4 linked regions of the Mus musculus genome follow. Each later gene encodes a partner of the first gene's protein in a complex. Links are inferred from orthologs where the notes say so. Each region holds a gene or a part of one and is shown on either strand. Other genes may lie near its edges. The genes, in order: Rab7, Rilp, Rubcn and Pdzd8.

Evidence for each region.
Region 2: the proteins of Rab7 (region 1) and Rilp are in contact, whole or in part, in a crystal structure (PDB 1YHN), measured with the Homo sapiens proteins. The link is inferred for Mus musculus from reciprocal best matches to the Homo sapiens genes RAB7A and RILP. Residues at the interface, in NP_004628.4 of Homo sapiens: Ser3, Lys6, Leu8, Ile41, Gly42, Ala43, Asp44, Phe45, Leu46, Thr47, Thr58, Trp62, Ser72, Leu73, Val75, Leu182, Tyr183, Asn184, Glu185; in NP_113618.2 of Homo sapiens: Phe248, Glu249, Leu252, Gln253, Arg255, Asn256, Lys259, Ala260, Phe263, Leu264, Glu267, Glu268, Tyr271, Arg274, Glu275.
Region 3: the proteins of Rab7 (region 1) and Rubcn are in contact, whole or in part, in a crystal structure (PDB 6WCW), measured with the Homo sapiens proteins. The link is inferred for Mus musculus from reciprocal best matches to the Homo sapiens genes RAB7A and RUBCN. Residues at the interface, in NP_004628.4 of Homo sapiens: Ile41, Gly42, Ala43, Asp44, Trp62, Gln71, Ser72, Leu73, Gly74, Val75, Ala76, Phe77, Arg79, Ser101, Asp104, Glu105, Ile108, Gln109, Ser111; in NP_055502.1 of Homo sapiens: His818, Asn821, Met822, Lys824, Thr825, Arg827, Leu883, Gln885, Ala886, Lys887, Gly888, Phe889, Ile890, Glu892, Gln895, Glu897, Ile900, Pro903, Cys915, Lys916, Arg931, Arg934, Arg938.
Region 4: the proteins of Rab7 (region 1) and Pdzd8 are in contact, whole or in part, in a crystal structure (PDB 7F6J), measured with the Homo sapiens proteins. The link is inferred for Mus musculus from reciprocal best matches to the Homo sapiens genes RAB7A and PDZD8. Residues at the interface, in NP_004628.4 of Homo sapiens: Lys10, Leu14, Asp16, Ser17, Lys38, Ile41, Gly42, Ala43, Asp44, Phe45, Gln60, Trp62, Gly66, Glu68, Arg69, Phe70, Gln71, Ser72, Leu73, Gly74, Val75, Ala76, Phe77, Tyr78, Arg79, Thr98, Ser101, Trp102, Glu105, Phe106; in NP_776152.1 of Homo sapiens: Ile999, Lys1000, Leu1001, Val1002, Arg1003, Lys1004, Glu1005, Gly1007, Leu1008, Asp1009, Asp1010, Phe1013, Ile1014, Lys1017, Gln1044, Leu1051, Asn1054, Asn1055, Val1058, Leu1077, Leu1084, Gln1085, Thr1088, Ile1092.

The regions. Positions count from the first base shown.
Region 1 is NC_000072.6:88,010,742-88,014,303, reverse strand, and holds part of Rab7 (ras-related protein Rab-7a), read left to right. Parts: intron 1-605; 5' UTR 606-613; coding exon 614-666; intron 667-1,870; coding exon 1,871-1,997; intron 1,998-3,562.
Region 2 is NC_000077.6:75,508,916-75,512,941, forward strand, and holds the start of Rilp (rab-interacting lysosomal protein), read left to right. Parts: upstream 1-1,178; 5' UTR 1,179-1,232; coding exon 1,233-1,457; intron 1,458-1,528; coding exon 1,529-1,622; intron 1,623-1,716; coding exon 1,717-1,823; intron 1,824-1,906; coding exon 1,907-2,092; intron 2,093-2,373; coding exon 2,374-2,519; intron 2,520-2,864; coding exon 2,865-2,987; intron 2,988-3,435; coding exon 3,436-3,519; intron 3,520-3,783; coding exon 3,784-3,928; 3' UTR 3,929-4,026. Other genes in the region: Prpf8 (pre-mRNA-processing-splicing factor 8), read left to right, coding at 1-54, 220-374. UniProt on the Homo sapiens protein: Rab effector playing a role in late endocytic transport to degradative compartments. Involved in the regulation of lysosomal morphology and distribution.
Region 3 is NC_000082.6:32,823,358-32,826,919, reverse strand, and holds part of Rubcn (run domain Beclin-1-interacting and cysteine-rich domain-containing protein), read left to right. Parts: coding exon 1-235; intron 236-723; coding exon 724-785; intron 786-1,202; coding exon 1,203-1,356; intron 1,357-2,447; coding exon 2,448-2,541; intron 2,542-2,773; coding exon 2,774-2,952; 3' UTR 2,953-3,562.
Region 4 is NC_000085.6:59,304,222-59,307,783, forward strand, and holds part of Pdzd8 (PDZ domain-containing protein 8), read right to left. Parts: intron 1,100-3,562; coding exon 937-1,099; intron 1-936. UniProt on the Homo sapiens protein: Molecular tethering protein that connects endoplasmic reticulum and mitochondria membranes. PDZD8-dependent endoplasmic reticulum-mitochondria membrane tethering is essential for endoplasmic reticulum-mitochondria Ca(2+) transfer.

The sequences.
Region 1 (3,562 bases):
TCTCTCTGGTGACTTTAGCTTGTGTCAAGTTGACATAAAACTAGCCAGCACAGGGCGCTCCTTAAATTGGTTCCTAACTGGCTGTGGTGGCACACACTCTTAATCCCAATGCCCAGGAGGCAAAAGCAGACAGGTCTCAGAGTTAAAGACCATCTCGTGGTCAGCCAGAGCCACACAGAAACCCTGATTCTAAAAAATGAAAGAAAGGAGGAAGGGAGAGAGGAAAAGGAAGGAAGGAAGGAAGGAAGGAAGGAAGGAAGGAAGGAAGGAAGGAAGGAAGGAAGGAAGGAAGGAAGGAAATAGGTTCCTTTGCTGAGAAAGTAGTGCTTAATCTTCACTTGTGAGATTTGTGAGTCTGTTTGGAGTGTTAATCCCAACTGCTGATGCCAGTAATGGACCCAGCACTTGAGGAGAGAGAGGGCACCGGCATCCGTTCAGCCCCTGCCCTGCTGTCTTGTTAGGTTAGCTAAAGGGTTCACAGGCCGGGGGCCAGTCTGAGTGAGGGCTGGGGCTCAGCTCCTGGCAGACCAGAGTGGCTGCACTGTAGACAATGCAAAACTGCCTTAATGTTTCTTCAGCTCACCTGCACTTTCTCCTCCCGACAGCTTCAAGGATGACCTCTAGGAAGAAAGTGTTGCTGAAGGTCATCATCCTGGGGGACTCTGGGTAAGTGTTTCTCACGAATCTGACCTCAGATTGGCTTGGAGCTTCATCCTCACTGATCTCAAGGCAGTTCCACATTCGGCTCTGGGCCTGGCCTCTATCCTTTACTGTTGGGGTTTCCTGTGTTTGGCCTATTGAAATGCTTAAGGAACCCTCAAACAAGTATTTTCTTGTTTTTGAAAGTGCCTTCCAGTGGGGTAGAGTATAGGAATAGTGTCTCCTGCCCAGGACTGTGAGAAATGGCATACTGTCTGAAAGGAGTCTCAAGGCCTTTGAGGATTACAGACCTCACTCTACTTCTGTAAATTCTAATTGTGTTGCAGAACTGGGTAGAACCAGCACCTTAGACCACTGGTCAGCCATTGCGCTATACCCCTGGCAAGGCAAGCACTACTGTCTTAGGCTGTATGTATGTGCACTCTTTGTGGAAAGCCTTGAACAAGGAAAGCATTGGCGCTTTCTTTAGGTTGCATTACCCTGACCCTACCCTTATCTTACTGAACACTTGGTTGGTGAGTTTTCTTGGTGAAAAAATTCCTTGGGAGGGACATTCTTAATGTTTTATTATGTATGTGCATATGCGTGTGGGTGTGAAGGTCCGTGCAAGAATTGTTTTTCCTCCTGCTCTGGGGGCCCTGGGATTGAATTAAGTTTTCAGGCTTGGCAATAGGTGCCTTTCGCTTTAGCCATCAAACAGGCCCTGTTTTGTTGTTTTGCTTGGGCTTTAGTTTTGAAACAAAAACTGTGGCTCAATGCCCTTGAACTCACTGTGCAGCCCAGTCTAGCCTCAGGCTCTCAGTGCTGCTGCCTCTATCTCTAAGCACTGAATTCCAGGCATGTGGGGCTACACCTGTCTTGGAACATTCCTTTCTGGCTACATACTGCTGAGTGGCTTCCTCCTGGTGTTACTTGACCACACTGAGTGATGCATAAACACCTGAGATTACAAAGCCGTTTGGAGTGATCTTATCACAAAGTTCCATTTAGGAGTGAGTGAGTTTGTGTGTGTTTCTTTTAGTAAAATGCTTTGTTTTGTTTTTAAACTGTTGCAGTACCGGGAGTTAAACCCAGGCCTGGTGTATGTCAGGCAAGCACTCTACCAACTAAACGCTCTTCCTAGCTCAGGCATGTTGCTTTGAACATTGTAAACACAAATCCCTTTCAGTCCCTTATTTGACTCAGACATGTGGGTTTTGTTCAATTTCAGTGTTGGAAAGACCTCTCTCATGAACCAGTATGTGAACAAGAAGTTCAGTAACCAGTACAAAGCCACAATAGGAGCGGACTTTCTGACCAAGGAGGTGATGGTGGACGACAGACTTGTTACCATGCAGGTGAGCCACTGCTCAGCCTGGAGCCAGACTGCCAGCTTACTGAGTCTTCTTTAAATGAAGTCTTCTTTAAATGGTGGGTGGGTGGGTGGGGGTGGAGTTGGCTTGCTTTCTTCCTTTCTGTGAGTTGTAGGGATTAAACACAGGTCATGAAGCTTCTGTGCGGAGCACTTCACCTCTGGGTAGCACCTTCTGTGCTGAGCCCTCGTGTAGGCCCAGTTGATTGCATCCAGACTGTCTGTCATACCTCCGTGCTTTTCAAACTTACCATTATATTTGTGGAGAATGGATAATTGGCTGCAAATAGTGTTGTTGGATAAAATAGCAGTAAAAGCACGGTCGGGAGCATGGTGGAGACAGAGCCCGAGCCCCATGCAGGCTGAGTGCACATGCTCCCGCCATGCATGAGCACGGAGCCACACCCCAATCCTAAATTTGAAATTTATATTACAAGACAACTAGGAATTTTTGTAAAATTTAATTTTAGCTACAGTTATTGTCTTTTTTTTTTTCATTTCTTTTCCCTTTCTATTTATTTATGTTTGTTTTTTCAAGATAGGGTTTCCTTGTATAGCCTGGCTGTCCTGGAACTCACTCTGTAGACCAGGCTGGCCTCAAACTCAGAAAAATCCACCTGCCTCTGCCTCCCAAGTGCTGGGATCAAAGGTTTGTGCTACCATGCCTAGCTTCTTTTTCCTTCCTTTTTTCCTTCCTTTTTTCCTTCCTTTTTTCCTTCCTTCCCTTCCCTTCCCTTCCCTTCCCTTCCCTTCCCTTCCCTTCCCTTCCCTTCCCTTCCCTTCCCTTCCCTTCCCTTCCCTTCCCTTCCCTTCCTTCCTTCCTTCCTTCCTTCCTTCTTTCTTTCTTTCTTTCTTTCTTTCTTTCTTTCTTTCTTTCTATAAGGATTTATTTATATGTAAATACACTAAAGCTGTCTTTAGACACTCCAGAAGAAGGCATCAGATCTCATTAAGGATGGTTGTGAGCCACCATGTGGTTGCTGGGAGAATTGAACTCAGGACCTCTGGAAGAGCAGTCAGTGCTCTTCACTGTTGAGCCATCTCTCCAGCCCCTTCTTTTTCCTTTCTAAACTTAGCAACCTACCGGTTTCTTCTGTGTTCTAAAATATCTTTATTTATTTATCTTTCTTTCTTTTGGAGGCATTGGTGTCTGTATTCATGACTGACCTTGAACTCATAAATTGCACTGGGGTGCTGGGATTAAAGTTCTGTAGCTTATCTAAGTGCCTTTGTTCAGTGCTTCAGCTTGGAAATCTTTCTGGGTTTTCCTAACTTCTGATAGCAAATATTAAGGTAGTAGTTAACTATTTAATTGTTGACTATCCTAAATTGATGTCTCGGTGATTAAAAGTGATTTAAAGCACTAGCTGCTCTTTACAGAGGACCCAGCTTCAGTTCTCAGCACTGCTGTGTATAACTTCAGTTCTAAGGGACCTGATACCCTCTTCTGCTCTCTAGGCAATTTGGTGCACAAGTGCAGGCAAACACATAAATAAAAACATTTTTATAAAGTTGAGTTCTGTAAGGCTGATTTAGTGTTTCCATATGTCT
Region 2 (4,026 bases), on another chromosome or scaffold:
TCCTCGGCTTCTTCATGGTCCCCGCCCAGTCCTCCTGGAACTACAACTTTATGGGTACGTGGTTGTGTGTGCCTAGGAAGTGTGGGGTAGAGACAGGTGACCAGCATGCTTGGTCATCTTGTCATCTTGAGGTCTGGCTGCCTTGGAAACGGTCCAGGGGCCCAGGCTGGGTGAGGCAGGCAGAACCTTATTAACTTCTGATGTTTCCCCTCCCATTAGGTGTTCGACATGATCCCAACATGAAATACGAGCTGCAGCTGGCAAACCCCAAGGAATTCTACCATGAGGTCCACAGGCCCTCCCACTTCCTCAACTTCGCCCTTCTGCAGGAGGGTGAGGTCTACTCTGCAGACAGAGAGGACCTCTATGCCTAGTTACTTCCTTCTGCTTCAGATCCCCAAAGCCTGGAGCCTCTTGAACGCCCTCCCCAGACAAGCTGCTGACATTCAGCAGTCAGCCCCTTTGCGTTCTGTGCTTGTGTTGTTGATAGATTGTAATCCTGAACAAAATGTAATAAATTTTATAAATAGTGCTTTTGTTTTCTTGCTGTTATGAGGTCAAATTCTGGGCATAGGCGTTTGAGGATTGGGGACTAGCTTGGGCAGTTGACAGCAAGGTACTGGGCCCTGCCTTCAGAGCCTTGAGGCCTTCTCCGCTGGAGGCTTAGAGGCTCCCTAGACTCAGGGAGCTGAGTTGGGGCTGGCTTATTACTTTGAGCATATTTGCTGGTTTCTCTGTAAAAGTACTTGGAGTCTACCTATTTTCAACATCACTTCTTGGACTGTGTGGTCCTCCTATAGCTGTAGTGCCCGGTCTCGTTCATTTTTGTAAACTGTGTGGTTCCTAGTGGGGGAACATACTTAAGTGACTGTCCCTGCAGTCCAGTAGAGGCTGTTTGCTGACCTTCAGTCTTTCACCTCTTGGCAGCCAAGTCCAGGGGTGGAGCCCGGGTCAGGCGCTATGGGGAGGGCTTGCCTGAAGTGACCACTTACAGCTCTAGTCCTCAACTCTTGGATACCTGCCTGGAAGTTGGCCGACCTGTATCCAGTGACCTTGTAGGGCACAGGGAGCCCAGAGCACTCTCCCACTCCAGGGCCTTTTTCCCTATTTGTTCCTCCCGGGTTGCTTCTACCCCGCCCCTTATGGCCCTAAACTTCCTGGGCCGGAACTGTTAAGCTTTTTCCTGCACCAGTTAAGGGTGTGGGTGGCTTTTGACCTTAAGAGAGGAAAAAATGGAGCCCAGGAGGGCAGCGCCCAGGCTACCCAGTCAGGCCTCTTCTTCAGTGGGCGCAGGGTCAGCCGCCGAGCTCGTGTACCATCTAGCGGGGGCTCTGGGCACTGAGCTACAGGGGCTGGCACGCCGCTTCGGACCCGACGCGGCGGCTGGGCTGGTGCCACTAGTCGTGCGGGCGCTGGAGCTCTTGGAAAAGGCCGCCGTGGGGCCGGCTCCGGACTCGGTGAGTCACCGGCTCCTCCTTTTACCCCTGAGAGCCGGCAGGCCTAACCCTGAGACCCCTGGCTCCCCCAGCTGCAGGTGTCCGCACAGCAGGCAGAAGTGGAGCTGCGGCGGCTGCGCGAGGAGAACCAACGCCTCCGCCAGGAGCTAGGCTCCGGGCCGCAGGGTGAGTGAGGGTCCCACCGGAGCAGAGCGAGCTGGGGGCAGCCGGGGCCTGCGTACCCCAGAGATCGGTAGTGCTAAAGACACCCCTTCCTCAGAGGAGCGCGCGCTGCTCCGACAGCTCAAGGAGGTGACAGACAGACAGCGGGATGAGCTTCGGGCACACAACCGAGATCTGCAGCGCCGAAGCCAAGAGACCGAAGCGGTGAGGGCGGGGCCAGGCGGAGTGGGGTGGGGCCGCTACGGCCCTCGGAGCCCCGCCCCTAGCTCTCTCGCTCCACCCCCTAGCTGCAGGAACAGCTACAGCGCCTCCTGCTGATCAACTCTGAGCTGCGGCACAAGCTGGCTGCAGTGCAGACCCAGTTGAGGGCCGCCCAGGACCGGGAGAGGGAGCGCCAGATAGCTCAGGATGGCTCCAGCCAGCTGGCTAAAGAACAGAGCTTGGAACCTGATGCGGCAACCTCAGATGACCCGGTAAGAGACGGAGCGAAGTCAAAATACATCCCAGAGCTCACAGCATTCAGCAGTTGATGACCCAGCCTGGGTTTACCTGGCATGGATGTACCATGCAGTATAGAAGGTACCCAGGAAGTTGGAAGGTAGCAACAGCAGTTGTGTGCTATGTACACCTATGTAGCAGCAACTTTGTCCTCTAAGTTTTCCCAGCAGACACTTCCCATAATATTATTGTGAGCGCTGGGACTTAGGGAAGAGCTAAGACAGACTGCTCTCTGACCATTCCTGACCTTGTACAGGTGGATACTCAGAAGCAGCCAGGGAACCTTCCAGAAGCTGTCCAGTGTGGATTCAGCAGGGAAGAGCTTAAGCAAATCCTTCAGGAGCGGAATGAGCTCAAAGCCAACGTGTTCTTGCTCAAGGAGGAGTTGGCGTACTTCCAGCGGTGAGGGACTGGAAGCCAGGATGCCTGTTCCTGGTCACCCCACCTTATTTTTTGGATCGTTTATAGATCAGCAGTGACAATTGCCAGGGTCCTGCTCAGGCACTGGGAAGAAGTAACTTCCACAGTCCTTGCCCTTCTGGAACCTCACTCAAACAGGGCAGCACCAGGGGTCACCAAACTGAAGCAGCAAGCCTTATCCTTAGGAGGGGCCATCTAAGCTCATTTCAGAGGTGTTGGCGGTATAGAGCTTTCACGGGTTTCCAGGGGAAACAGTGAGCAGAGCTCAGGTACTTGATTGACACCTCCTGTTGGCCTTCCCACTTTCTTCCCTTCCTGCTTCTCTAGAGAGCTGCTCACAGATCACCGTGTTCCTGGGCTTCTGCTTGAAGCCATGAAGGTGGCAGTCAAGAAACAGAGGAGGAAGATCAAGGCCAAGATGTTAGGGACACCTGAAGAAGCAGAGAGCAGGTAAGATCCTGCCTCTGTGCTCACCAAACGAACCCCTTGGCCTGCTGCAGTTCTGCTGTGCCCAGTGATACAACTTAGCTGTGCCTGGCACCTCACTCAGCCTGCTCTCCAGCTGCCGTCCTTTCCTCTGGAATCCACTGCTCCCGCTTGCCCCGGCTGCTATGCCTCCTGCTGAAGAAACTGTCCATGCTACTTCTCCAGACTCATGTTTCCTTCCTTGGCTGGATCTCTTTACTAAAGGAAGCTATGCAGTCTTGTGAGGGGCTGTTGTCTGCCTGGTTATAAAGAGTCCCTGATCCCCTCACTGTCCCCTCTCCAGCCCTGAGGCCTCTGTAGTCACTCCATCCTCCCCTGATGTTCCTGAAAGTCCTTCAGGAGGTTCCACACAAGCTGGACTCATAGTATCCCTTAGGCCCTGATATACAGCCCTTTCATTTCTTTATCCTAGTGAGGATGAGGATGGCTCGTGGCTCCTGCTCTCCAACGACAAGGAAGATGTTCCCCTAGTTCCTGAGTCCAGAATCCAGAATTTGTATGTTGGAGGAGGGGAGGGAGGAAGGTGAAGGAGGGGCCTGCCTGGATCTTCTCCACTCTTTCTTTCCACTCCACTGCCTTTCACGCTGTTCTAAGATCTGTCTTCCCACCTGCTTCTCTGTCCTCTGTGCCTTCATTTCCCTGTGACCTATGCTGTCCTCTTTCCTCCAGAACCCCCTTTTCACCTTTCTGGACCCTCGGCCTGCATCCTTGACATCTCTGCCTCCCCGGCTCAATGCACCTCTCTTGGCTTCCCTTCCAGCTTTGGCTTATGGTATCGGGGTGAAACTGAGGCCCCTGAAGCCGAGACCAGCAACCCAGCTTCCAGCAGCCTACAGAAAGGAGAAGAGACCCCACAGCAACCCCACCTGCAGCCTGTGAACAGCCCTCCAGCCCCCAACTCCTGACTAGTCCCCTGCTTTCAATGAACATCTTGGTCTGAGGGCTTCAGCTATGCAGGAGGCTTAACTCTGGATTCCAGCTAACTGTGTGTGGATGTGTGACC
Region 3 (3,562 bases), on another chromosome or scaffold:
TATCAAGCGGCTGCGGTACTGTGAGTACCTAGGCAAGTACTTCTGCCAGTGCTGCCACGAGAACGCCCAGATGGTCGTCCCCAGCCGCATTCTGCGCAAATGGGACTTCAGCAAGTACTATGTCAGCAACTTCTCCAAGGACCTGCTCCTGAAGATCTGGAATGATCCTCTCTTCAATGTGCAGGACATCAATAGCGCACTCTACAGGAAGGTCAAGCTGCTTAACCAAGTCCGGGTGAGATAGCTGAACAAGCCGGGCCTTGGATGCCTGTTTCTGTCCTAGCTCCTGTTCCTGTTGGTGCAGTTGCCTTAGGTCACCACACTTCTTGTCACAGTCACCGTTCATGTTCTGAGGACTTTTCTTGTTTGTTCTCAGTGCTGGGGAGCACTGGCCCAGCACTGATGCCCATAGTGCTAGCAAGGCCTCTGTCCCAGAGCCACACTCACACAGTTCCTGTGTGCTTGTCCTGCCAGACTCGCAAACCCCGAAGCAGCTGAGACTCGATAAAACTGGGAAGCAAAGGCCATTTCTGCCCTCACGGAGAACAGGGCTGGGCATTTGAATCCCAGAGTTCTCAGCGGCTGCCATTGTGTCTGATGAGCACACTGAAGTGAGGTGTGGAAGGTTTGACTGAGAGGTGCTGTGTGAAGAGTGGAGGACTAGCTGCCCCTCTAACAGGTCCTTCTCTCTCTCCTCTCCTCCACCCAACGTCTTGTCTGCAGCTGCTGCGGGTTCAGCTGTACCACATGAAGAACATGTTTAAGACATGCCGACTGGCCAAAGAGTAAGTCTCCCGTGGAGGCCAGGGTCCTCTGGCTGCCCGTTGTCTCTTAAAGGCCTATATCCCAACTGCCCGTTGTCTCTTAAAGGCCTATGTCCCAGCTGTTGCCTACTTTACATGAGAAAGAGTTTGCAGAAATGTCTGAAACTAGTGGGAAGCCATGACAGTAATTGAATTGTGTCTCTTTTAAAAAGGACTATCTGTCCAAGGTGAGACACCATTTTCCAAGCTCACTCTACAGAATTTATAAATAAAATACTTTCGGTATGGAGAGCTGGGGTAGCCTAGAATACCTGGGCTGGCTGAACGTCTTTGTCCCCTCCCCTCACCCCCTTAGCTTCTCTCCTTCTGAGTTTGGTACGGTCATGCACCATGGGAAATGTTTATTTCCTCTCCTCCCTCTGCCTCTCATTTCTGTAGGCTCCTGGATTCCTTTGACGTGGTTCCAGGCCACCTGACAGAGGACCTCCATCTGTACTCGCTGAGTGACCTGACTGCAACCAAGAAGGGAGAACTGGGGCCCCGGCTGGCGGAGCTCACTAGAGCGGGAGCCGCCCACGTGGAGAGATGCATGGTGAGGCGACCTTGCTCTGCCCTGCAGCCGAGGCTTTGCTCTGGGCTTAGGTGGGGCTTAGGTGGGGCTTAGGTGGGGCTTAGGTGGGGCTTAGGTGGGCAGGGTTCCTGTCATTTAGCTCCTCATGCGGCCAGTTGACACTGAGAGAAACCAGAAGGGCTTGCAGTTCTCTAAGTCCGTGAGCAATAGGTTCTTCTTATGTGAAGAACCCGGAGTTAGAGGAGGGAGCGCTGCTGGGCTGGGGCAGGAGGATCTGAGTAGAGTCAGCCTGGGCTATTCATCAAGACCCTGTCTTGAGAAAACAAAAATACAAAAGCAATTAGGACAAGAGTTGATGCAGGTGTTGGCCCAGGCTAGACTGAGCAGCCTCCAGTGAAGAAGGCCACACTCAGTAGGACCTTGACCACAATCTAGAGGCTGCTGTTTTCAGTCACAGTCTCCAGCAGTTTGCTCTCTCTGTAACACCGTTTTCTTCTTTCTGGAATGAAGGTGACCCTTAGATGAACTGTCCTTCCCTCTTGAGCTTTTGAGGACTGATGAAGTAGCTTACAGTATCTCTGTAAATTCCACGTACAAGGGTCAACATGCTAGAAACCTGGAAATGATACTTTTAGGTCTGCCCATGTCAGCTGCCTGGTTTGTGGCCTGTGGCAGGGTGAGGTGTGTGTGCGGTGGGGTTGGGATGGACACAGTGCAGTATAGCCTGACTAGAGGGTGTTGTTTCTGGGAAACACCCTTACTTTAGCTTTTATCTTAATGAGTTGTGCTATATGTTTCAAAGTAAAAAATCTATACTGGAGTACAGCTTTGAGGACCATCTTCTTCGTACCCCCTCTTCGCCCGTTCCTCATCACTGAGGGCTGCTCCAGTGGCAAGGAATGCTCAAGCCTGTGTCTCTTGTCCATCCCTGAAGCTTTGTGTGTGGTGTCCAGCCCTGCTGTGGCTCTCATACTCACAAGTCCAGCCCGAGGCTGTATGTCACAGACAATAGACCCTTCACCTGCTCAAAGGTTTATTTATGACTTGCTTCCCCTCGCTGGAGTTCACCCTCTGGAGCCAGCCCTTCACTTTTCCTGTCACTCTCTCCACAGCTGTGTCAGGCCAAGGGCTTCATCTGTGAATTCTGTCAGAATGAGGAGGATGTCATCTTTCCTTTTGAGCTGCATAAGTGCCGGACTTGTGAAGGTGAGGGCCATTGCTAGATGGGAAGCCGCTGTACTCCCCGTGAGTCCTCTGTTAGCAGGAGTGTGGTGTGAGTGACTCCATGCTCCAGCCCGGAGCACAAGCTGTGGGGAGGAGCGGCTGTGGTGGGTTGGAGCAGCTGTGGTGAGGAGGAGCAGCTGTAGTAGGGAGTTGCTTCCAGCCCAGGATAATACGAATCATTTTCTTCTCTCTCCTTTTCAACCGGAATGAACAGAGTGTAAAGCGTGTTACCATAAAACTTGCTTCAAGTCTGGACGCTGCCCCCGGTGTGAGCGGCTGCAGGCCCGACGGGAGCTGCTGGCCAAGCAGAGCCTGGAGTCCTACCTGTCTGACTATGAGGAGGAGCCCACAGAAGCCTTGGCTCTAGAGGCCACCGTCCTAGAGACCACCTGAGGAATGCACTAAGCCCTTTGTGTAAGGGTCTGGCGAGGGTCAGATATAGACTGAGCCACACCTTCAAGGAAGGTGGGGCCTTTTAAATATATATATATTGTCATTTTTTATGACTTGTCTGCTGTCCAAGTGTAGGCAACCTTTCTTGGTTGATGGATCCAGTCTCTTGTGACAGCTGTCTGTGGGCACTGGGTATTTTTGTCAGGGGAATGGACATCGAGACCCAGTTCTGACCCGCTCGGCCTCTTCTACTAGGACCAGATCTGGTTACAGCTGCAGCTAACGATCATACCCACTGTTGACTTAGTTCCTCAGAGTCTGAGCCAGGCCTCTCTCAGCCAGCGACCTTCTCCTTTGCTGCTGAAGCAGGAGAATGGTCTTTTCTTAGGCCTAGTCCTAACAGAGACTAAGACTGTGCCCTGAGTCACGGGAGAGAAGGGGGGTATACAACGGGCATTCTGTCTGGCCACTTAGGTATACGGGGGGGCAGGGCAGGTAGGAACAGAACCATCCTTGTTCTAGCATCTTCGGGATCTCAAAGGGCAACCATGACTTCCCTGTTTCAAATATTCCTGGCATAGGTGGGCACAAGCTGGTTTGTGTACTCTGG
Region 4 (3,562 bases), on another chromosome or scaffold:
ATTATTGCAGGTGACTATGGAATAAATGGTCCTGTATATACCACAATCAGAGATTTCCACATGAAAATGCTAATTTAACTCCAAGTGCTTAACTAAATCATTTTCATTATCTTAATGTCAAGATGGATTTGAATCAAAAGCAGAGTCTGACATATTGAGTGATAATTCCTTTTTGCTTCACCTTATTGTCTTAGCTGTAAAAGAACACACAATACTCTTCTGAAAAGATTAAGCTAAATTATAGCCATTTTTATATGCTCAAAGCCTACACCAGGTGGGCCAGGTACTATGAAATATGAAAAGGGCTTGGATTACTTCTGTGCTGTTGTGTACATTTGAGTCCGCTATTATGTATATACACTCAAGCAGATAACTCATTTTTATTTTTATTATTTACAACCATCTAGCTGACAGGAAGGTATACAGTATTTACCATAGAGATTTGGGTTGCATTCTGAATAATAGCATCCTGACAAACCACAGGCCTTTCCCATAACATGGAGTCTCAGAATAGGGTTAGGTGTATCCTCCCTCTCAGGTAAGGAATATTCATTTCTCTCCTGTTCAATTCTAGTACTACAACACGATGAGAGAAGTCATGTGGTAATGGACATACAGGAAGACATTATTATCTGGCTCTTAATTTTGTATTTAATAATACATAGAGGAGAAGGTGGGAAGGGAAAGGAAATGAGAAAATTTTAGTGAAGTGGTTTAAAGATGAAATTATGTTTAAACATCAGGACTAAACTGGCTCTTGTTTTTTACAAGCATGCTAAGGCCTCTTTTGCAATTTTCTTTATAATGAAGATTTTTCCATTATAAAACTAACAGATGCTTGTTTCAAAAATAGGGAGACGAGAGAAAAAAAAACCTCTCCAGCCAATTTTGTAGTTTCTCTGTACACGTAAGTTATACTATACAGTGTGTAATTACCTCCAATAGCAATGAGCCGATCTCCCCGTTGAAGATCTGCCATCGCAGCAGGTGAGTTTGGGGCCACAGTTTCGATTATGACATGCCCAGCATACCCATCAGTTGACTGAACAAGACGAAGTGTAAGTCCGACACTTTGTAAATTCCCTTTTATTAATTCAACCTTTGATAAAGGATTAAAAAGAAAGAAAACATTGAGATAAAAGTAATACAGATAAGAGTATCACAGTCGTGACTTTTAAATCATTGTGACTATAATTACAGATAAGTGACAGATTAAGACATTACTAACAAATATAAATATACTTTCAGATTATGATGACTTAAATGTGGTCATAAAAAAAAACAATAAAAAAAGGTGGTCTGCCTATGCTCCCGTGTATGGCCTCATACCCACATGCATGCAGGCAACACCAACTGGACCACATGTGTTCTTACAAGGAAGAGGAACAGGAGATAATAATGGAATAACGAGAGGAACGTGTTCTGGGGGCAGTCTGGCTGAGTAGCTATTGGCTGCTGGGGGAAGAGAGAGTTATTTTTCTCTGGGTGTGTGGCCATCATTGGTAGTCTGCCCATACTCCACGGGATAGCCCGATACCCACACATTCATGTAAGCACTGATTGGAATTATTAAAAATTAGAAAAGATGACATGAAACTGGGAGAGAGGATGTGTTGAGGAGGGTCTGGGAAAATTGGAGGAGGGAGTGGGGAGAGAATGTGATCAAAAGACATGGTACAAGTATAAAATTCTCAAAGAATAAAAGTCTATCATAAAGAAGAGAACATGAAGATGTGAGAGATAAGGGAGTATGAAGGTCACTGGTCCTGGGGGAAGTGGGAGAGAGGGTCAAAATATACACATCAAATATAAAAATTATACATACATGTATGAAACTGCCAAACAATAAACAAAAATATTCTAAAAACATGAAACACAATGTATTCAATGTTTTTAAAGGGATCATACCTATAATAGAAATTCTGGAAATTAAAGAAACAAAATCAAAAGAAAAACACTTCCAATCATACGATCTAGAACTACTGTTAGAATTTACATTTGCTTATACTTTATTACAAAATTATAAATTGAGGGGGCTGAAAGATGATTCATTGGTTAAGAGCACTGACAGCTCTTCCAGAGGTCCTGAGTATAGTTCCCACCAAACACATGGTGGTTCACAACCATCTGTAATGGGATCTGATACCCTCTTCTGGTGTGTCTGAAAACAGCTACAGTGTACTCACATACATATACAATAAAATCTTTTTTAAAAATTAAGAATTGAGCCAGAATTTGCATTTGTTTATACTTTAATATAAAATTGACACTTGTATCAAAGCTGAGACATGGTAAATATAATCATATACTGTGAATGGATCTTGACTGTTGCTTTTCTCAAATTCAGCAGGAATAGTCCATGTCATTAGATGGGCTTTGGAACATTATTTTATTTAATGTGTATGTGTACACTGTAGGTATTCTCTGAACCATGTAGGTTCTGGGATCAAACCTGGGTTGTTGGGTTTTAGTCACAGATCCATCTTGTCAGCCTTAGTTTTAGAAATCTTGACCTCTCAATTATAAGCCAGAGCTTGAAGATAAATATTTAATATACTAATGATAACTGTCTAGTCCCTGATATCCAGAAATAAATTACCCATGGAGGTTTCAAAGACCTGTCATTATAGTTTAACCTATTTACAAATTTTTATGTTTTTGTCTCAATGATAGTGATAATCTGTCTCCTCTCCCCTAACCTCCCTTTAGAGTCTCATTCATTCATTCTCTCTTTCACACACACATACACACACACACACACACACACACACACACACACACACACACCATGCTAACATGCCATAGTGCTTAAATGGGTAGATCTGTATAGGGTCAAGAATGAATTCTAAGTTCTCTCACATGAACTCTACAGGTAAATATCTTCCTTACGGCAGTGATGCGTACCTATTTAGCAGCTAACTTCTAATGAACAGGAGAAAACCCACCAAATTTTGATTATTCTCCCAAGCCCCAAGAGTTACGACATATTGAAAAAAAAAGTTTTTGAAGGACACTTGTTAGTTGGAATACTATTGTACTCAGTGGGGTTTGAATTTCTGGCTCTACATATTAGTTTTACCAAACTTTTTTTTCCTTCCTTCCTTCCCTCCCTCCCTCCCTCCGGCAGGGTCTCAACTATATAGCCCTGGCTACCCAGGAACTCACTATGTAAACCAAGCTAACCTCAAACTTACAGAGATCTCCCTGCTTCTGCTTCCAGTGCTGGGACTAAATGCATATGCTGGTACATTTGGTTTGTAGGATTTATTTATAAAGAGAATACATTAGTTCTTATTTGTTACAACCAAAAAAATGCCTGGAACAGAATATTTATGAAGAAAATGGGTCTACTTAGATGTTTGGGGGTTCACTGATATGGCACAGGTCAGCTCTCCTGAGGATCTCATAATAAGTAGCCTTGCTTACTACCGTGCTAACAGTATAAGAGAAAGCACACAGCATTGCAGGAAGCCAGAGGGACGCAGCTGGGCTCCTCATAACTGTCTTAGAAAGCTCTAGGGGTCCTATGAGAGCTACTTTAACTTTTCTGAGAATAGCTCTG